Linked DNA regions of Cricetulus griseus. The protein of the gene in region 2 interacts with the protein of the main gene of each other region in a pairwise test. Links are inferred from orthologs where the notes say so. Each region holds a gene or a part of one and is shown on either strand. Other genes may lie near its edges.

What was found.
Region 1: the proteins of Syncrip (region 2) and Prmt1 interact in binary tests that used the Homo sapiens proteins (3 or more experiments, as listed by UniProt). The link is inferred for Cricetulus griseus from reciprocal best matches to the Homo sapiens genes SYNCRIP and PRMT1.
Region 3: the proteins of Syncrip (region 2) and Prmt8 interact in binary tests that used the Homo sapiens proteins (3 or more experiments, as listed by UniProt). The link is inferred for Cricetulus griseus from reciprocal best matches to the Homo sapiens genes SYNCRIP and PRMT8.
Region 4: the proteins of Syncrip (region 2) and Nupr1 interact in a two-hybrid assay, tested with the Homo sapiens proteins (2 studies listed by BioGRID and IntAct). The link is inferred for Cricetulus griseus from reciprocal best matches to the Homo sapiens genes SYNCRIP and NUPR1.

Annotation. Positions count from the first base shown.
Region 1 is NC_048599.1:153,869,908-153,875,516, reverse strand, and holds the start of Prmt1 (protein arginine N-methyltransferase 1), read left to right. Parts: upstream 1-2,279; 5' UTR 2,280-2,350; coding exon 2,351-2,386; intron 2,387-4,614; coding exon 4,615-4,668; intron 4,669-4,873; exon of another isoform or gene 4,874-4,973; coding exon of another isoform or gene 4,974-4,976; intron 4,977-5,160; coding exon 5,161-5,262; intron 5,263-5,609. UniProt on the Homo sapiens protein: Arginine methyltransferase that methylates (mono and asymmetric dimethylation) the guanidino nitrogens of arginyl residues present in proteins such as ESR1, histone H2, H3 and H4, FMR1, ILF3, HNRNPA1, HNRNPD, NFATC2IP, SUPT5H, TAF15, EWS, HABP4, SERBP1, RBM15, FOXO1, CHTOP, MAP3K5/ASK1, MICU1 and NPRL2.
Region 2 is NC_048597.1:198,398,856-198,404,293, forward strand, and holds the start of Syncrip (heterogeneous nuclear ribonucleoprotein Q), read right to left. Parts: upstream 3,571-5,438; 5' UTR 3,376-3,570; intron 2,075-3,375; 5' UTR 2,063-2,074; coding exon 1,915-2,062; intron 1,221-1,914; coding exon 1,102-1,220; intron 997-1,101; coding exon 889-996; intron 1-888. UniProt on the Homo sapiens protein: Heterogenous nuclear ribonucleoprotein (hnRNP) implicated in mRNA processing mechanisms. Component of the CRD-mediated complex that promotes MYC mRNA stability.
Region 3 is NC_048601.1:18,724,212-18,729,167, forward strand, and holds part of Prmt8 (protein arginine N-methyltransferase 8), read left to right. Parts: intron 1-1,538; coding exon 1,539-1,681; intron 1,682-2,246; coding exon 2,247-2,334; intron 2,335-4,956. UniProt on the Homo sapiens protein: S-adenosyl-L-methionine-dependent and membrane-associated arginine methyltransferase that can both catalyze the formation of omega-N monomethylarginine (MMA) and asymmetrical dimethylarginine (aDMA) in proteins such as NIFK, myelin basic protein, histone H4, H2A and H2A/H2B dimer.
Region 4 is NC_048596.1:74,154,689-74,160,054, reverse strand, and holds Nupr1 (nuclear protein 1), read right to left. Parts: upstream 3,364-5,366; 5' UTR 3,276-3,363; coding exon 3,164-3,275; intron 2,819-3,163; coding exon 2,688-2,818; 3' UTR 2,675-2,687; intron 1,516-2,674; 3' UTR 1,288-1,515; downstream 1-1,287. UniProt on the Homo sapiens protein: Transcription regulator that converts stress signals into a program of gene expression that empowers cells with resistance to the stress induced by a change in their microenvironment.

The DNA.
Region 1 (5,609 bases), on a different chromosome or scaffold from region 2:
CCCCTTTCCCTATCTGCGCCTCAGTTTCCTCATAGGAATCTAGATCAGGGCCTGGCAGTGGTGGCGCATGCCTTTAATCCCAGCATTTGAGAAGCAGAGGCAGGTATATCTCTGTGAGTTCGAGGGCAGTTTGGACTACACAGTGAGTTCCAGGACAGCCAGGACTGTTTCAGAGAGAGAAACCCTGTCTCTAAAAACAAAGCCGGGTGTTGGTGGCACACGCCTTTAATCCCAGCACTTGGGAGGCAGAGGCAGGCGGATCTCTTGAGTTGGAGACCAGCCTAGAGTGAGTTCCAGAACAGCCTCCAAAGTCACAGAGAAACCCTGTCTCGGGGAAAAAAAAAAAAAAAAAAACAACCAAAAAAGGGCTGGAGAGATGGCTCAGAGGTTAAGAGCACCGACTGCTCTTCCAGAGATTCAATTCCCAGCAACCACATGGTGGCTCTCAACCATCCGTTATGAGATCTGGTGCCCTCTTCTGGTGTGCAGATATACATGGAAGCAGAATGTTGTATACATAATAAATAAAATCTTTAAAAAAAAAACAAAAAAAATAAATAAAACAAAAAATCTATATTAGCAGCCATCTAATTTTGCAGATTCCTTGTGTTGCAGATTCCTTGTGTTAGGTCATTAAAATATCTTGTCAGAGTGGCTGGGTAGAAGTCAGAATGCCCTATAGTCACTAGCTGTAGATAAAATCTCTTGTCCTGAAAGAAAACCAAGTTCGATCCCTTGTACCATGAGAAATGGCATGGAAGCATAAAGGTGGCAAGAGCCGCAGGTAACTAGGGTGGAACTGTAAAGCGGGAATGGAGGTAGTTTAAGGATTGAGACATTGTCCTGGGGGTGCAGGGAGGCCCAAAAAGGCCATAGGCAGAGATGAGCTGCAGGGATTGGCAGGTGGGAGCACTAGGGCTGAAGGCCTTGGGGATTGACAAAACTGACGGAGGGAATTGGAGGGAAAAGCCCAGAGGCTATTGATATTTGGGATGAAGTAGCAGGATAGGCAGGAGTCAATCAAGAAATCATACTGAACCAGGCAATGGTAGCGCACACTTTTAATCTCAGCGCTTGGGAGGCAGAGACAGGAGGATCTCCGAGTTCCAGGACAGCCAGAGAAATTCTGTCTCGAAAAAACAAAAAGAAAAATCATACTGGCTGGAAGAAGTTTACACAAGCCTTAAATCCCAGCACTTTGGAGACAAAGGCAGGCTGTACCATGAGACTCTGCCTCACACCAGATACCTTACGTGTGCAGCAGATGGTGCAGTGCTTGCCGCTCAAGACTTGACACACGCACGCACACGCACACTAAACAGTGTTAGGAGTCGGAAGGAAGAAGGTCATCTGAGCACGAGGAGGCCTGGAGTGGAGAGGCACATTTGGGAACTTAAAGGACCCTGTGCTTGGGCCGAGTACTGGTGGGACAAAAGGTAAGAGGCAGGGGCACAAACCCAGCAATTGGCATCCATCTTCAGGCCAGGAGTAACTTTCTGCAGATCCAGGGAAACTTCCTGGAGGAGATGGAGTCCAAATTGCCGCGTGGGAGTTGGCCAAACAAAGGGAGATGGGTGTTTCATGCAAAGGACTAGGAGGCCACAGGTCTTCAGAACTCGGCACAGTCCAGTACAAGGTTATGGCTCATCGCACTGACATTCACTACGACTCCTGACAAGTTTCAGGACCCCTGATGAGAACGCCTCCACATCTACTCACAGCGACTCGGCATTTTCCCCTAGCTCGCCCACGCGCCCCAGTTCCGGAGAAGCCACCGAACGTTGATGACTGATGTTCCTGGGAGCCAATCGCTTCCGCCCAAAGCCCCGCCTACCTCCTTGTGGGCCAATGGTCCCTGTCGTTCTTGGCCAGTCTCTCGAAGGGACTGGAACAAGAGCCCTGCAACGTCACGTTTTGCTCAGCTAATTGCGGCGACGGAGAGGCGGGCCATCTTAATGATCCACAGCAGAGTCTCTCGACATCCGCTTAGCGCGGAGCCCGCCGGGAAGCTTCAAGGCGGAGCTGGCCGGAAGGAGGCGGGAAGACCTGGTGGGATATCCTCCAATCATCACATGCGCTGCCTAAGATAGACAGACAGTTGTTCCCTTCCTAGCCGACAGGAGGGGGTGGTCCTTTGAACGCTAGGAGGGGAGGGCGCCCGAATTTTGATAGACGTGCTCAGCGCCCAATTGCAGTGCGAGGCGGTTAGATTGACGGCTGCGCCAGCCATTGGAAACTTATGGCGGGGTCTCGGGGGCCGGGCGGTGGACCCTCTGGTAAAAGGCGGTCCCCGGCCGGGGGGAGAGAGAAGAAAGGGGGGGGTCTCGGAGGCCGGAGGACTCGGGTGAAGATGGCGGCAGCCGAGGCCGCGAACTGCATCATGGAGGTGAGTAGCTGGGCTCTTTAGGCCAGTGGGTAGGGGGAGGACGACGGGTTACCCACGGCCTGAACTGTGGAGACGGGGCCTTGGGTGTGCTGGGCCTCGCGGAGGTCCGCATCGGGGGATGTGTTCAATCGTGACCGGGGCGACCCCAGCTTATGGGACTCTCGGACCCCGCAGTCGAGTCGAGGGCCGTCGCACGTGGTCGCGGGCCGGGGGCGCGTCCAGCCGGGCCGCACGTGGTCGCGCAGCGTAGCGTGGGGAGGGGGGTGTGCCACTCGAGGGGCCCCGCGGGTTCCACGTGCGGGACAAAGGCCCCGCCCCCGGCCCGGTGACCTGGGCTGCACTCCGGGGGTCCTGGGGGGTGCCACCTGCGTCCTGCTGTCCGCTGGGTGGTGGACATCCGTGCACCCTCGTGGGGCCTGACCTCACTTTCCTCCACTCTGAGTTACCCCTGTGCGGTTGGGGGGGGATGGGCAGAGCCCTGTGACCTCTCTGTTAGAGGATGGTGGGGCATCTCCACCGAGGAGATCCGGATCCGGCGCCGGGCACCCCCTCGTGGTCATTATGGGCTTGTGAAAGGGGCTCTTTTTCATGGGGCGTGGCCCAAAGCCCACCCCCTCATGGAAGCGCCCTCGGGTGGATGGTCAGAGGTCGGTCTTGGGGCTGGATGGCTATGTAGGCACGCAGACCAAGGGGCCTTGACCCCCACCCGACCCCTTTTTTAGGATTCTCACCTTTGCCTAATTTCCCCCCCAAAACAGAATCAAATTCTAGCACCTGGCTTATTTGCTTACAGTTGAGTGTTTCCACCCCTGAGCTGTATTCCTCAGTCCACTTTTTACTAACTTTGATGCAAAGTGGGTCTGGCCTTGAACTCACCCTGTAGCCCAGGCTGGCCTTGAACTTGCCATCTTTGCTTAAGCCTTCCGGGTAGCTCTCGTGAAAGACTTCACTACTAGGCCTGTAAATCAGATCCTCTCCTAGTCTCAGGTTTCAAACCCTCTTCAGGAAGCCGTGTGGTGGTGCATGCCTTTAATCCCAGGACTCGGGAGGCAGAGACAGGCGGATCTTTGTGTGTTCAAGGCCCATTAGAACAAGTTCCAGGACAGGCTTCAAAGCTACACAGAGAAACCCTGTCTCAAAAAAAAAAAAAAAAAAAAAAGCCAGAAACAGAACAAACCCTCTTCAGTCAGTTGTTAACCTGCTGGTATCTGTACTACTGAAAAAGAGAGGCCCACATGGGAACTCCCCCCACTGGCTACCCGACCCCTGAGGTGGTAGATCGTGGCCTCTCTGGCCTTAGATAGCAGTCATCTATCTAATGGGATAATGATGGGATATAATCTGGTGGTACCCATACCTCTTCAAGTTCTCTGGAGAGGAAGGTCAGTTGCTGGGACACCTGCCATGGGGATCAGTTCGCCTACAGTGTCACTGAAGTGACCCTGGGCCTGGCACTTGTGGACAAAGGAAAAAGAGGGCAGTTTTCAGTGTGGGGACCAAGGTGGGGTGTGAAAGGGGGGGCTTTCGTAAGCTCACACGTGGCGGTGGGGCTCAGGCGGATTTTGGCAGAAATATTTATCGTAACAGCTTGCCCCAGCTTTCCAAGGCATATTTTGTACTCCTGGGGGGCAGCCCTCTTCCGGGGGCAGGTAAAACAAAGAGCCTTGCTCTGTGTGTTCCTTGCCCGGGTGGAGCTGGGGTGGTGTACTCACTGTGGTGTGGGGGTATGCCACATTTCTCTATTGGAATGATCTTTGGCCAGGAGACAGGATTGTGATGGGGCAGACAGGTGCCCAGCACCCATTACCTGTCAGCCCCCTCCGGTTTATTCATGGCACTTCAGCCTGGTGTGTCTGTCAGGAAATGTCACCTAATCTAGGGGGGATTAGGTAGTGAAGGGGAGCAACAGCTGAAAGTGCCCATGTGCCTTGGCAGGTATTGGGCCCTCTGGCCTAGATAGGGTAGGTATGTGTGGCCAGTTATCTGACCAGAGAGGGACAACATGGGGCGGGCCACCATCTCTTCAGCCAACAGCTGGGACAGGAGACCCCACCTTCCTTTCCCTCCCCACTTGTATCCCTTCCTTACACAACTGCAGCCACACTGCTTGCTCCTGCTTACACCACTCCCATGCCCAGGAAAAGCCAACCTGCAAAACACTCACTGCCCCAAAGGCCTTCCCCAGCCACCCCAGTAGCTAACCCTTTTTCCCTGTTACTCTCTCCTAGAATTTTGTAGCCACCTTGGCTAATGGGATGAGCCTCCAGCCGCCTCTTGAAGAAGTAAATATCCTTTTGTGAGACCCCCCCAGCCCACTTGCATATAAGCATACTTTGATATGCACCTGGCTCCTCAGGAGGTCTATTCATCCTCTTGCTTCAAACCAGTTTCCCCTGCTGTGGCCCCTAAACACATAGGACAGACCCCTTCCTGGCCCAAGCTGGCTCCCCCAGAACCATGGCTGCTTCCTTAACTCCATCTCCAGCCCTCCTCCTCTGGCTTTCAATGTGTCTGCCCTGGCTCTGCCCTCCCTTCCCTCCCTCCCCAGCTGTGGGCTGAGCTAGAGACGGGCATAGAGCCTGGAGAGATGGTAGGCGAGGCGGCTGCTCCCTGGATGGTGCTCTGGGTGGGTTCTGAAGTGGATACCGTCCCTTGGGAAGAAAGATGCCGGAGGGGGCTGTAGGGCTGTCCCATTCTGAAGAGGGGCCTTCTTGCAGGTTGAGGAACCTCTGAAGAGCCCACCTGTGACCCTTTTGCTACTCCCCCTCTTTCAGGTTTCCTGTGCTCAAGCAGAAAGCAGTGAGAAGCCCAATGCTGAGGACATGACATCCAAAGACTACTACTTTGACTCCTATGCCCACTTTGGCATCCATGAGGTGAGTGAAGACTTACCCTAAAGCCAGTACATCCTAAAGGGCTGAAAGGTTGGGCGGGGGTGAATGAATCCACATGGGCCCTGCTACCCTTCTTCCTGGGTCCACTGCCTTGGAGGTTGGTTAGCCCAGTGCTCTGCAGGCTGGCCTGCATGCTGCAGACATCAAGATGAGGTCAGGCCTTGCGGGTGTCTGGCGCCCTCTGGTGATTGGCGGTGGGAATTGGTCCACAGTTCATGCTGCACTTGTTTTTCCCCAACCCTTTTGATGGAGGAGACACAGGGTTCAGTCAACTGAAATGGCATTCTAAGGAATCCTCATCTATTCCTCGGGCCTTCCCCTCCCCCAGA
Region 2 (5,438 bases):
TCCTTTTCCAATAGGGTACCACACATTTATGCCCCTCTTAGCAACTAGTTTTCTTATTCTTAAATCATAACCTGTACCTCAAGAGTTAACAGTACCAAAAAACACCAAAAACTATGTTAGTTAAAAAACTAACATAGCTGGGCAGTGGTGGTACACACTTTTACTCCCAGCACTCAGAAGGCAGAGGCAGGGGGATCTGAGGCCAGCCTGGTCTACAAAGCAAGTCCCAGCACAAATATATAAAAACTTAGCTAAATGAGGCAATTTAATCTCCTTCATGACTCTAAAAATCAACCAACCAGCAAAACAACAAAAAAAAACTTTCACTCCCAACCCAATGAATGTCCTTGCTTACCACACTGAACAGCATTATTGTCAAAAGTTGTTTTTAGAAATGTAACAATTTGAGAGGCAATATTAAAATTCCAAATTCACCATGACCTAAGCCTCCCAAGAAAACAACCATTTGCCCCCAATTAGTTTGTCAGTAACCTGTTAAGGATAACTTTAGACTTAACCATTGATCCATCTTTTTTTTTTTTTTTAATTTGGAAGCGACAACACAGGTTGGATCATTGGTAGCCAGTCAAGATAAAATGAATTGTAAGTTAATTTTCAAAATCTAGCCATTAAAAGACAATAACCTTAGAAATATATTCATGCCACACTGCAGGAATATTTACCAAAGCTAGAAAATAACTAAAAAAAAAAGGCCGGGCAGTGGTGGCACACACACCTTTAAATGCCAGCAACTTGGGAGGTGGAGGCATGCAGATCTTTAAGTTAGAGGCTAGTCTGGTCTAAAGACCCTCCAATGCTGCAGAGAAACACTGTCTCCAAAAACAAAACACACACACTTAAAGCTACAGAAAGTTCTCAAAAACATACCTTAATCTTTGACTCATCTGGTCCTTTACTGGAGTCCGCTACTTTGGTCCCTTGTTTCTCTCTCTGCCTGTAAGTCTTCATGACTCCACATAAAAAGGCACTTTTGTTCTGTAATGAAATTTTCCATTCATATTAACATTACTATTATGTCTGTGTCTAATTAAATTTAAATAAGATCAAAAGTACTTTTTTCTACACTGAAATTAACATTACCTGCACATGAGAGAGATCACTATCCTTAAATTGTTGAAGAACTGCCAATGCGCCGTCTTCATTGAACTCTTTTAAAGCTTCGATAGCTCTTTCATCTAAATCACTATGTGCAACTAGCCCTGGAAAGAGAAAATGTAGTTAGTTATCACCTTTTAAAATTTCCAAATTATTTCTTCAGAAAGTCCTGTATTGGCCAATACAGGTACACACACGTGGCGATTCTACTCCCCTTATCTACATAATGAAGAATATATTTTAGCCATTCTGAGCTAAGTCCTCTCAACCACACAGAAAGAAGTCAACATATTTTACATCCCATTTGTGTCCAAGTAATCCTGAACACTGCAATATTTCTACAATATATAAGCCTACAAATCCTGTCAACCAACAAAACACCAAGCATAGCAACTGCAAGTCTACTCAATGTCAAATGCCACTAGAAAAAAAGGAACCACCACACCAAGAAAAACAAGAGAACTAGCCTACAGTAACCAAGTTATTAAACAAGAACCCTGCTTTAAAAATACCCCAAAAAGTCACATGGGCTGCTCTCAACATTTAGCAGCTGTTGCTACTATCATATACTTATCTGTCAGGCCAGACAGCGTTCCCCTAAGGGAGGTCTTTTCCCCACTTCATCCCTCCCTCTACACTTTAACCTCTAGATCAAACCTAAATTAACCAACTATCAGAACAAGGCAAAGCTCCAGTTCCCACATTTATTGGAAACCACAAAAAGTTGCTATTTTAGCTCAAAGCCAGAAATCCAATAGAAAAATTTCATAATGTAATTTTGCAAGTGTTGTTTCTTACCTGCAACGTAAATTTCATCTAGTTTTTCAGCAACTTTCTGTGGTAAACCAGCATCAAGCAATGTCTGAAAATTTTCTGAATGGATAACTGCAGAAGTAGTATCCATGGGCTCTTCAGTACCATTTCCATTAACATGTTCTGTAGCCATGTTTCCAGAGATCTGTTCAAACGCAATAAGCAAAATTAAACTAGGGTCTTCAAAAAGAATAGAGGACAATGACAGTCCCAATCTTTACTTTCTACCAGTAACTACAACCAGCCAGCCTGCGCCTCCCTCGAAAGAAACCTTAAAGTCACCATCGCCTGACAAGCCAGATTTGGAGCCCGGGGTACAGACGGACCGATGCACTACATTCTTTCCTGATCACCACCCCTGACTTCACCTGCTAACACTCGCTAGGAAAAACCGTATTACAAATGAAGCCCAATCAGCACAGGGACCGGCCGAGCCTGCCACATGCAGCAGTTCCAAAACGGAGAATAAGGTGTGTGTGAAGAAAAGCAACGCTGGGCTTGTCTCTCTCCAAGGTAAACCAGAAAGTGCGCTTTTCCCGCCTGCCGCTTATAGATCAGTAACAACAGCCAGCGAAGAACAAAGCGCTCACACAAGCCACCTTCCCACCACCCAATTCCTCCACCCTTCACCCCCACACCCCAAAGCCCGCCCCCGACTCCGCACCCGGAGCGGCAGCCTCACCACTGCGGCCGCCAGGAGCCCATTAGAAACACGTGCTCTGCGCCTTCAAATGTCCTACAACTTCCTTCAACGGAAACCCACCGAGTACCGGGCCAAGGCGGTCGTCACCGCCTCTCAACATCAACCCGCAGTCGCGGTCCGAGCCCCCCGAACCGTGCAGCCGCACAATCTCGCCTCTCAACACCGAGGCCGCGGCGGCGCCAGGCCACGGGCTCTCCCCGCCCCCCAGCGCCGCCGTCTCCGCCTTGACACATGGCTCTCCGCCCCGGGTGCTCCCCAGCCGCCCGCGACCCCCGGCCTCCCGCACCCCTCGGTGCAGCGGCTGCGGGCGCCGAGGCCGACAGCCCGCGCCGGGAGGGCGTTCCGCCGCCAGGCGCACGCCCGCGGGAGCCCAGCACCGCCCAAGCCCGCCGGCCGGCCGGCCGGCCGCGGGACAGCACCCCGCGCCTCTCCGCCCACTCCCGCGCCGCCGGCCACGACAGCACCAAGTCCGCCCGCCGCTCGCGGTCCGCGCGGGCCACGGGGCTGCCGAGGCGCCTCCTCCCGGAGCGCCGCAGACAAAGCCCGGCCGCGGCAGCACATGGAGAGGAGGAAGTGGCGGCGCGGCCGCGGCCTACTCCCTGGCAGCCCCGGCCAACGTGCTCCTCTCCCCCTTGGAATCCATTTTCCAGAAAAGCCGGTTTCTCCCCGCGCCGCCCTCCCCCAAGCTCCCTCCACAATGTCATGGAGCCCCCCTCCCAGACCCGGGTGCCGGCGGTCGTTACCTCCCCGCGGGGCTGCGGCCGAGGAATCCTGTCCGACCGGGTCGGGTGGCGGGGAACGCGTGCTCGCTGCTCCCTGTGTCCGGCGCGAGTGGAGCTGTTGTAAAATGGCGGCCGAAGCTCACGCCGCTGGCAGCAAACCCGATCCAGTTCCACTCGCCTCCGAGCGCGCTCCCAGTGCGCGCGCGCGCCCCCGCGTGACCCCCCTTCCCTCCCCTCCCTGGCGCGTCCGCTTCTCTCACTCACTCCCTCAGCCCCTGCCCTCCTACAGCTCCTCCTTCTCCCCTGCCGCCGCCGCGCCGCCGCCGCCGCCGGCCGCCGGCCGCCCTGTCCCCTCGGCCTTCCTCCTTTCCCTCCCTGCACCTCCTCCCCCAGCGTCCCCACTCCCGTCCGCGGCCGCTCAGACACGAGTGGCCGCCCTTCTCTCCTCCTCGCTGGCACTCTGGCTCACGCCCTCCCTCGCTAGCTCTCTCGGCCCGTCCCCAGTCCCTGCCGAGTCGCTCTTTCTCTCTCCCGCGCTGACGTGACGACGCAGCCGACGCCTCAGGACGCGCGCCCGTGGGCTCCGCCTCCCGCCCCGCCCCTAGCTCCTGGCGGGGAGGGGGAGAGGGGAGTCGAGACCCCGCCCTTCCGCCGCGGCGGCGATGAGGGGCCAAGTGAATGAGAGACCCGCCCTCCGTGCGGACACTCCCTCGCGCTCCGCGGGCGGGGCGGCCTGCTCGGCGTGTCCCACTCGTTCTTTGTCAGGAGACAAGCATCTCCCCACCCCGCCCTCCCCGCCCCCACCGCCCCACCGCCCCGCCGCCGGCCCCCGGGCTCCGAGGGCTCCGAGGGGCTCCGGCACTAATCGCCCGCTCGGCCGGGACCTCGGCCGGGGCCGCCGCCGCACCGCCCCTGGGCGCTCGGGAAGCTGCAGGCGCACGTGTCCCCCGGGGCGGGGCGAGGCGAGGCAGACAATGGGGCTGCGGGGGGGAGCCGCACGGGGATGGCGGAGCTCCGGGCGGCCGGGTGGCGGGGCTCGAGTTCGGGAGTCACCCCGGGGAGCCCCGGCTTCCGCCGCTGGACAATGGGGCATCCCGCGGCCCGGCGCGCGCCGTCCTCCCGCTCCCACGAGTCCCCTGGGCGGAGGGAGGGGCACCGCGCGGCGGGTTCGCGAGGAAATCCCAGTGCCTCCCGCCCGGGGATGACACGGAGGCCAGATTTGGAAGCTTAACCGGCCCGGTGGTGTTGGGTTGTGCAATATTCCGTTCCTGTCCCTGGCCTTCGAAGCAGTTGAGTGCTCCTCCTGGCACACTTTGAACAACTTGAAGCAGCACAAAGCTTCGTGATTTAGGACAACTGTGAGGAAAATGTCCGTGTCTCTTTTCAAACATCTTGGTAACTACATGTTATGTGAAGTGACATTTCCTTTGTAACCGTTTACTAGGTACAAGAAAGAGAAGACAAAGGCGCTTGTATCCCAGACGATATGGATGCTAATTTTTTATTTTATTTATTTATTTTTGCTTTTTCGAGACAGGGTTTCTCTGTATCTTTGGAGCCTATCCTGGCCCTGGCTCTGGAGACCAGGCTGGCCTCGAACTCAGAGATCCGCCTGCCTCTGCCTCCCGAGTGCTGGGATTAAAGGCGTACACAACCAACGCCCGGCTATGGATACTAGTTTTATCCAGAGCAACGGTAATGAAAATAGCATTATCCTTTTGACAAAAAAAAAAAAGGTTATTTTTAGAAAGCTACTGATTCCCCCTAAATGAGCGTTATGCTATAATAGCAAGCCAGTAGCCCAAAGAAAGTTAGATACTCTTCAAAGTGCTAGGCACATAAAATGGTGCTTTGACAGGTGGACAACACAGAAAATATTTCTGAAGTACTATCTAACCTTACCTGTTTAATAAAGCCCTGGATATCCACTGCCTAAATCCCTATCAAACATATTCCTGCTAGAGGATTTAATTAATTCAAGGAGATTTTAGTTCATATCTCAAAAGGTGTGGATAATGGTATCAATGACCAACAACCAAAATGCTAATAGAGGTCATTTTAAAAGCCTATGGATTAAATAAGGT
Region 3 (4,956 bases), on a different chromosome or scaffold from region 2:
CCCATTTTCTCTTGTTAAGACCGCCAGAGAGCCAGGGGTACTGTTTGCCATGGCATGGCTTAACGCTTGTCTCTCTCACTTGTTTCAAAATTTTTGGAGAAGTCCGGCCTTCCTTTGCTCTTCCTTCTTGGGGATAGGGGTCACAAATGATGACCAGGCAGAGCACATAGGCCTCTGTGGTACATGATGAGGGTAGGTGGATGTGAGTAGTGTCTGACACTTATAAAATCTGATTAAGCCTTGATTAAGCAGGGGGTGGAGAGGGAGCCACCATCAGGAGCTGTTGATGGTGCCCTTAACTATGAAGGCACTAAACAAAGGCCCTGGCCTGTGTGCCCTTTGCTGTAGATGAGCCTCCAGTCCAAATTAATTGCCTTGGATTCAAGACAGACATGGTTTATTTGGTTTGTGACTCTGAGGTCTGTTCAGTTTTATTAGCGTGATTTTTCCAGGGACTGTCACAGAAGGAGGGTTTCAGAGCACCAAAGTGTGTGACCTTTCAGTAGAGATGTTAAGAAGGGACCAGGCAACTGGTACAATACCCTTCCAGTGTCACAGCAGACCCTAAGGTCACTTTTTTCCGCTCCATCTGTGCATCAAAGAATACAAAAATCATGTGTCCTTCTGGATCAGCTAATCAAAAATTCAACTAAGACCATTCTCCTGCTTCCATGGGATGGGAAGTCACTTCTCACAGAGAGGGGGGGCTCTATCCTTTTCTCTTCTCCATATAGTGTTAAATAAGGAACATGTCTGCTATGTCTACCTTCTATTGAGCCTTGTCTACAGGACTGGCACTTCCTAGGTATTGTTTCATTTCCTCAACACAGCCAGCCTGACAAAGACCTCATGCTCTCTGGTATTCTTTGGGGAACTGGATGGGAATTGTGTGGCCAATGTGATGTGTGTAAAATCAGACAGTTAATTAGAAGACCCAGCATTTAACCCTGGGTTTCTCTGTCTGCTGAGTCCATGGTCTTGTCAAAACACCAATTTGCCTCCTTCACAGACATTCGATGGGCACCCACTGAATACAGGGCATTGGCTGTGCACAGATGCAAGAGCAACACACGCAGTGTCCTTTGCGCAATTCAGGTCTGAGTTGTCATGGTAACCTCACACGGAGCAGGGAGTGCACAGTAGGGCAGTTACAGTCCCATTCTATCTGACCTGGACTCTGTTTCCATGGCCATCACCTCACCCTGAGACCTCAGTTTCCTTCGCTGTACAAGAAGGCGACGATAACAATACACTTAGTTCTGAAGGCAGATGGCATGACACAGTGTACTCTGCCGGCTTGGGACCGAGTCGAATGCGCAGTAAGTGTCCAGGACCTTTGATGAGGGACACACTCAAGCAGCTGCTTTCAAAGACCTTAGCGTGTTCAGTAACCAATAGGCTCCTCTGTTGGAGGATAAGGTAAGTCACACCCTAAAAGCTGGAATCGAGTGGGGCTCAAAACTCAGCAGTCCGGCAGCAAGGATCCCACGGTGCCAAAGGGTCCTGGCACAGCATGGCTCTGGGTTCTTGTTTTCTAGTCATTACCATATTTAAGGGCAAAGTGGAGGAGGTGGAGCTGCCTGTGGACAAGGTAGACATCATTATCAGTGAGTGGATGGGCTACTGTCTGTTCTACGAGTCCATGCTCAACACCGTGATCTTCGCCAGGGACAAGTGGTTGGTGAGTGGTCCGCATGCTGCCCCCACATTATTTGGGTGGCTGTCTCGCCACACTTCCCATCGCCTCCCACCTGGGAGGAGCATGAGACTTCCAGAGAGGAAGGGTCTAGAAGACCACTGTCTTGTGGCCCTCTCTTCAGAGCACAGCTGCTTCAGGGGAACGAGTGGTCAACCCTGGTCCAACACGCTTAGCTGTCAGACTGTATAACCATAGCCGGTCTAACTCTGTCCCCTCTGGCTAGAGCAGCAACCCATTTTCTCTTGTTAAGACCGCCAGAGAGCCGGGGGTACTGTTTGCCAAGGCTTGGCCCGAACCACAGGCTGGCTCTCCGCCCCTCCTTGATTTGCCTTTTGCACCCCGCTTGTCCTGTCAGCTCCACCCGGGCTCCTAAGATTCCCCCAGCTTAGGATGTGTAACTGGCATGTCCAGCCAAGCTGGTCCGTCCACTAAGTGAGAGATGCTGGCAAGGGGGTGCTTGTCTGGTGACTCTATGTGCAGTTCAAAATGTGATGTCTTTGTCAGGTGAATAGATTACGAGACCCATTTCCCCACAATTCATCAACAGAAACCTGGAGGGCTTATGTTTCCAGACCGGGCAGCTTTATACGTGGTAGCAATTGAAGACAGACAGTACAAGGACTTCAAAATCCACTGTAAGTCACCTTACGGGGTTCTTTGTTGCATTTCTGTTGTGTACTGGGGGGTGAGAGAAACTTCACGGTGGACAGCTGGTGTCCTGGGAAGGTTTATCTGTGACCCCTCTGGGTTATTCTATGGAGTCTTTCTCACTATCCCCGAGAGGGGGAGGTCTACAGAGAATACGTGAACAGTGTAGCTGGTGAAAGGTAACACATCTGGGAAGTGAGAATGGACCATGGAAATGGGGTAGCAGGAGTTGTGTTTGTGCATCGAACAGCAAGGCAGGTGGCTTGTAGTGTCAGGCCAGATGTGGCAGGTCTCACATCAAGCCAACCATTTTGAAACATGCCTCCATGCCTATCAAGTTGGTCAAAATCACTACGAGTCTGTGTCACATTTGGTAAAATATGGATTCTTCTCTGAGGTTCCTTTAAGGATATGTGCGATGAGGTGGGGAGGAGTAGAGACTCTCAATCAGATAGTGTGTGTGTGAGAGAGAGAGAGTGTGTGTGTGTGTGTGTGTGTGTGTGTGTGTGTGTGTGTGTGTGTGAGTGTGTGTGACAGAGGCTCATATGTAAATATGTATCCATGATGTCTTACAAGTTAGGATAGTGTCTTCTCTCAGGCCAAATGGCTCAGTGTAGGTACATTCCTATAGCCCAACACTCCGGAGGCCAAAGTAGGAAGATAGTAAGTTTGAAGCTAGCCTGGGCTACACAGCAAGACATCCTATTTCTCTCCTTACCCAACTCCAAACAAAATCAAGTGTGGTAGCTCATTTCTGTAATCGCAGCATTTAGGAGGCTGAGACTGGAGGATTAACTCAAGTTCAATATCAGCCTGGGCTACAGAATAAGGCCCAGTCTCAAAATAAAACAAGACAAAAACAAACTAAAACAAGAAAAACATACCTTTGCCAATATTTTATCTAGCTCTAAAGGACCATTTTATTCTATTTCATTTTAAAAGTTACATTCTTAGTGGATGGGTCTGGTGTTTGGTAGAACGATATCCAGTGTATTTCTGTCAGGTGAGACATGCCCATGCCACCTGGAACTGCAGATGGCGATGGAGCAAAGAGCCCTTTAACCAATCAGCACACCAGCATTCAAAAACAGAAACAGGAGGTAGGAGCTCTTAAGATGCACAGCCACCAGTGTGTCCAGGTTCACACCCCGGGTTGCTTACTCCTGCTTGGAGAGGTGGCTGTGGAGGGTTCACACACTCTTCTGGAAGCTGAAGGTCGAAGAGTGAAGCTTGGAGTCAAAGTTCAGAAGTGGAAATGAATGAGTGCCATGAAGCTCCATGCCTTGGAGCCCTTCTAGGTCACCGTGATTGCTAATATTTGACCTCAAGAAAGGAGGACACAGGTCTCTAAATGAAAGTCAGGAGGTGTGGGGTGACTTGGGCGAACACTTTGACTCCTGCCAAGCCCAGGGTTCTAAATGTGGGCATTGCCATTCACTGACTGAGTAACCTTGAGCCTGTTACCTGACTTTGGGCCCCAGTGAGAGGTGATGCCCTCAATCCCAGTGACTTGAAAAGACTAAATCAAATGATATATGCCAAAGAACACCACTGTTTGTGGAGCGTGTAGGAATAGGCCAGGTTTAGCCTATGAGGGAGTAAACCAGCATCTTGTTCTGCTCCAGGCTCTGCAAACTTGCTAGCTGGCCTCTGGTGGCTTGGAATATGGGCCGTGCATCTCCCCATAGAAGACTGAAGAAGCCACTGAGCAGTGAACAGTAGTCAAGTGTGTGAAAATAGAATGCAGATCACCCCAGAACAATACTGTGGAGCTTGTGAGGAGTAATTGCCCTGAGCAGTGTGTGTGGAGAGAACATTCCAGCACACTCTTCACACACACACTACTTAAATATTTATCGAGCTCCTAGGAAAGCTCTTTATGGAGCTGCCTTCTAGTTTCCAGAACAAAGCCACCTCCTCCCCACTTTTCTCCCTGGAACCTGTTGGGAGCCCTTGGAGCAGGCACATTGCAATGAGCCATTCTGAACCCATTAGAGGAAAGGACAGTGGCTGCTACTTAGGGGACAGCCCAGAACTGGAGAGCATGTAATTTATTCTTGTGGTTCCTATTGCGGCCTTTACAGCTCTGGCAAAGGGAAAAGCAAATTAACACTCAAACAAACAAAAACTGAACAAAACCATAAGTCAGGCCCCATCTTTTCCTTATAAAGTATTTACCTTGGAGTATCCTTTTAAAAAGGCTGACGCTATAGTTCTGTGGTAGAGTACTTAGTTGGCTCCAACCGCCAGCACCACAGGGGGGGAAAAAAAAAGCAACATCAAACATCAAAATCCCTAAATTCCCAAAGAACAAGATTCTAACATTTATATTTTATTTAGGACACGGTTAAGTTTTCTACTTAAATGTTTTTCTTTCAAAGACACATTTTTAGCTAAAGGAAACAGGCCCATTTAGAGAAACGTGTTTGAACAACAGCTTTTGGTTGCTGGTTGCCAAGGGAACAGTTACAGGCAAATTTCAATTGGCCCAAGAACCACAGGAACAACGTGAATGTGGGGCTTGTCCAGCCCTACAGAAAGTAAACTGTTGAGGTTGAAAGCTTTCTTTCCCATCACCTGTCCCCTCTCCTGCCCCTCGCAGCCAATCT
Region 4 (5,366 bases), on a different chromosome or scaffold from region 2:
TCCAGGAGTTTTGAGACCAGCCTGAAAAAGAGATCCTCGGTCTCAGAAAGGGGGAAAATATGTGTGGCTTCTTGTAACCTCTTTCCTGCCTTTCCACAGGCTGAGATGCAGATGTGATGGCAGCTACTAAAGCAGCTATTTGGGGCTTCAGAGTAGAAATGTATGGAGTGTGGCAGACAGTAAGCTAAAAGTAGCAGGAGCCCCAGTACAATAGAGTTGCCATCTGTAATTTAGGAATATTTACTCTTGGAGCTATTCTGTGTGAGAGAACTTTCTACCTGGTTTTGTCTCAGTGTCATTACAGCAGCCCTAACTCAGACCTCAGTAACTGAACACTTGGTTCCGACCATCTTCTCATTTGCTTCACTCTCCTGGAACTCTGGTCCTGAGAACCACCAAGAACCTTTACCCCAGTGGACCGGAACCCTGTCCTGGAAGCCAGCCTGTTATTACATGCTTGGATTTGAACCCTCACCCACTTAAAAAAAAAAATCCTCCCCATGTTTTTTTGTTTATTGGTTTAGTTTATTTTGTTTTGGAGACAGGATCTCTCTGTGTAACTCTGGCCATCCTGGAAATCACTCTGTAGACCAGGCTGGCTTCAAACTGAGAGATTCACCTGCCTCTGCTTCCCAAGTGTCAGGATTAAAGGCGTGTGCCTCTACCTCCCAGCCAATACTCCCCATGTTTTAAATCTTTGGTTGTTTCTTTTTTCATTTTGCAAATGGTATTAATAGTAACATTCTCTTTTAAAAAAGCAGTTTTATCTAAATATGACCTCATCCTGTACGAGAATGTGTAGGGGCTGGCCACAGTTTGTCTCCGGGGTAGCAATGCAAAGAAACAAAATAGTTTCCCACAAAGAGACCACAGAAAGAGGCACCCAAAAGTATCTGCATACATTACAGAAAGGTACCAGTACCAGGACCTGCTCAGTCTCCAGTCCTACACAACAAGGAAACTGCCATTCCAATACATACCCAAGAGAGACACTCCATGAACACATCCAGACACAAAACAGATGACACCACAAAACACAAGAAAGCTGTCGCTGTTATACTGTTTATTGTTGCTGCTCATAGTCCAATCCAAGACTAAACTTACAGCCCTTGTTTCCTCTTAGTTGACTTAAAAATCTCTAATTTTGGAGGTCACACAACAAGGCAATACATTACTGACAATACAAAGAAAAACAGTGAGTGGCAGTGGGGGTACCCAGCACTTCACCTAATGGGTGTAGGTGCGCTCCAATTTATGTCTGGTTTCTCTCACATTTCTTTTTGGGGGTACTAGTTCCCCCATTCTTGCCCTGATTGTTGCTCCGATCGTGCCCTTTTGCTGGATCTAGAAGGGCTTTTTTGGTGTCCCTTCTCTAGAACCTCACTTAGGTAGGAAAGAGTCAAACAGGTCTCTGTCTTTGCCTGTATCTCCTAATCTCTCCAAGGTCCTAATCCATTGCTGGGTGTGGTTGTCCTGTTTCCATTGCTGGGTGTGATGTCTGTGGTCTGGCCTCATCTGTGGAGAGAGAAAGCAGGTGGTGGAAGGGGCAGAGACCTGGGTTTGAATTCTGGCTTCCCTACTTATTTTTTCTGTAGCCTAAGTGAAGTACTTGACTCTGTTAAGATTCAGTTTCCCTTTCTGTAAGCCAAATTTCCTCCCAATTGGAAAGGCTCTATGGGAAACTTCCCCCATTCTGGTCATCAGAGTGGAACTCGGAGTTAAATACGGGTCTCATTCTTGCTGTAGATGACACCCTATTTTTTTTTTCTATTTACTGGAATGTGAGTGTGCATGCATGAGTATCTACACATGAGTATTCTCATATGCTTGGGTCTCTGTGAGCATGTGGAGGTAGGTCAGAGGATGTTGAGGGCATGGTCCTTGTACTCCCAGAGAAGCACTAAGAGAACCAGGAATGTTAATCACACAGGGTGTCTCCTCAATGGAGGAGATGAAATCAAATACCTGCATTCCATCCAGAAAGCTGAGAGTGGGTTTGTTAACAACCTGGTGACCAGGAGGCAGGCCTCACCCTAATTCCCCAAAGTGATTATCCCAGACTCTTCCCTCCCTAGACCATTACCCATCCTTGGGGGGAGATGTCACAAGTACTTTACAGCCTGCTGACCTCTATGCTGTTGGTCAGAGATCACACTAGATTCTAGGTCTTCTAGCTATAGAACCCATCCTCATGGTTACATGTACTTTGTAAAGGAGTCTCTACTGAGTCACGCTTTAAGTTTTATTGTGCAACTGGAATTGAACTGATTGGATTGATTGTTGCGTGGAAACCTTTTCCCAAATTGTACAGAGCTTAAAATAGGCTGACAGTGAACCGCCTGGTATTAGCCTCTCTGAAGCCTGATCCAGGTTGACAAAGTTGATCTGCACTAGGTTTTCGTTCCCATCTCTTCTCAGGCTCGATTCCCTGCCTGGATACCTGCAGGGTCCTCCTAAGGGGAGAACTTGCAATTGATTCTCTCCCCTTTCATCATGTGGGTCCCAGATGTCTAGCACAGGTTGTCACTGCTGGCAGCAAGTGCCTTTACCTACTGAGCCATCTCACCAGCCCAGGGCTTGCTTTTGATTCCCCACTTCCTACTCAATTACACTCTTAGGCCTGTCACCCTAAGCAAAGCCACTTTTACTGGCTCTCTGGCTCGTGACTCCTCACCTCCAGCTCTGCCTCAGCGCCAGGCCTTTTTCCTTTCAGAGTTCTGGAACTTGGTCAGCAGCTTCCTCTCATGCCCACCAGGGCTAGGGCGGTTGGTATTGGCGGCAGCTTCTCTCTTGGTACGACCTTTCCGGCCTCCCCCGACTGGTGGAGCAACAGGTAGAAGGGACACGGGCAGAGGAGAGGTGTGAGGTTCAGAGGACAGACAAATGCCTGGGGCATAGGGATGAGAAGGGCAGAACAGCCAGAGGGCAGCTGGTGGTCGCCCTGTGAGGTTGGGGCACTCTATCCCTGCTGTTTACTAATGTATAGAATGAGAGATGCTTAGAAGCGAGCCCTCAGAGCTGAGGAGGACAGAACTCAGTATACGAGGCTAGATTGGGTTTACTTTGGGGTAGGGAGCAGATTAGTTAGAGAAGGCAATCTGGGAGAGAAAATCCAAATCCAAGGAGGAGGATGAGAAGTCAAAGAGCTGCCCAGCAGGCCTACCGATATAAGGATGGGCCAGGCTGTACTGGTCATACTCATCCAGGATGTCATCTTCATCCTCTGGGTTTAGGGGTTGCTGGGAGGAGCTGGTTGTTGGTGGCAAGGTAGCCATCACCCTGCTCTGCCTTCTCCAAAGTCTTGCCTGTGTCTTGTTTTCCAGCTGTCTGCCCTCACCCAGTTCCCTCACCCCTGCTTATAAAGCTGTCTCCTCCTCAGACCACAGGCTGGCTCCCGCCCTTCAAGTCCTGTCTGATGCAATCTGGCCTTTCCCCAGAACTGGGCCCACAGACGCCAGCCCTGAGCAGAGAGGCACACCCTGCCCTTCCTCCTCCCTCACAGGGCTCACCCAGGCCCAGCTGTGTTTTTCCACATGGAAGACTCCTGCCTCTCGGGGAGGAGGGAGCAGACAGGATGTGGGCACAATCTTTGGCATGTTGGCCAGGGAGAGCAGAGGGCCTCAGATGGGCCACTCCTTATCATTTCAACCTCTGCCACAAGCCCTGCCTGGCTCTAGGTCATGGCTACACATTGCTCCCACCACCACTCTAGTCTGGTTCAGACTCAGGACTTGGTGGCAGCATACACCCTGAAAAAGGAGAGAGGAGGGGACAGTGACACGCTTCATGCCAGGTCAGCAGTTCCTATCCAGTCACACCCAAGGCTTCTATTTTTATGGAAAGTCCCCTTACTGTACTTCAATAGAGTCCCTAGGTACTTCCCCTCATCCAAGGAGATGCAGGCTAGCTAGCTGGTAGAGACAACAAACACCCTGGATTCAACACTCTGACCCCTAATCAACCTTCCTCTGCTCTTCCTTCTGACAGAGTCCCGTTATATAGCCCAGCCTGGCTCTTGAACTTGTAATTCTCTTGCCTCAGCATCCCAAATGCTTGAATTAGAAACTCAACAAGTCAGCTGAGATCCACTGTTTCCTGTGTGACCCTGGACATGTCACTCTCCCTCTCTGATTGTTCCAGTTTCCCCCTTTAACAGAGGATAACCCTACTGAAGGGACCAGACCCTCACCCAGTGCCCTGCTTTAGCAGCCATGACAGGCTGCAGAAAAGACCCAGCAAGATGTAGGCTTCTGACTCAGCACATGTACATGTTTGACCTTGCCAGACTGTGCTAGTCACTAGGAGGTCAGATACCCTCCACGTGGCAAGGAACCAATCAGAAGTTAGCTGGTAGGCTCTGGACATGCTTTACAGTAAAAGTGGCATAACAGTGGCATACAAAGTATAGCAACCGCCCTGGGAGGGCCATAACAACCCGTTGACCAATCAACACAGAATAGGTCATCCAAGCCTGGAAGTGCACCAATCCTGAGACTGTTGCATACCCTTAGACACTCCCGTCGCTCTCCCCAATAAATTCCCTGCCTCGAGGCCCCTTCAGGTCCTTCTCAGACCAACTACTGTGTTGGATAGATGAGGGAACCCAGTTAAGACAGTTAACTAGTTAAACAATAAAAGACTCTTTGCTTTTGCATTGGAATGGGTCTCGGTGATTTTGGGGTTCAGAATTTGGGCACACCTATCAATCTTGGTTGGTGAGAGTCTCCAGTGACATAATGCCTGGAAAGGCCCTTGCATTAGCTGCAAACAGCGTAAGGGTTTGTCCCAATTTCCCATGGTTTCCCATGCAGTGCCCTCACTGTGACAAAAAGAAGAGTGGAAAAAGAAGAATTTAGAATAAAATAAAATATTGTGGGCTCACAATATGGCTCAGTGGGTAAGGTACTTATCAACAAGCCTGGCAATCTGAGTTCAGGGGTGTCCAGGACACAGTGTCCCACATATTGTCCTCTAACCTTCAAATGCCCATACACACACATACAAATATATAAATGTGGCTTTTAAATGTTAAGTAAAATAATATATTGATGTGGAAGGCATGATGAAACAAACAGGTCTTTGTACGCCCCCACCCCCGCCCCATTTTAGGCATTCTTAATTTGTAGCTGTGGATAGCTTAGAACTCTCTCTGTAGACCAGGCTGGTGCTGAGCTTGGTGATCAACCTGCCTCTGCCTCCCGAGTGTTGGAATCAAAGGTGCACATCACCACATCCAGCCAGTATGAATTTAAGTATGAGTTAAGTATCAAGTGTTTTCCGTCCACACTGGCCTCCCCTGTGATGGATTATAGACAGGCATGTGCCACCAGTCTTAGAATTTTTGTTTTGTTTAAAGACTAGATCTT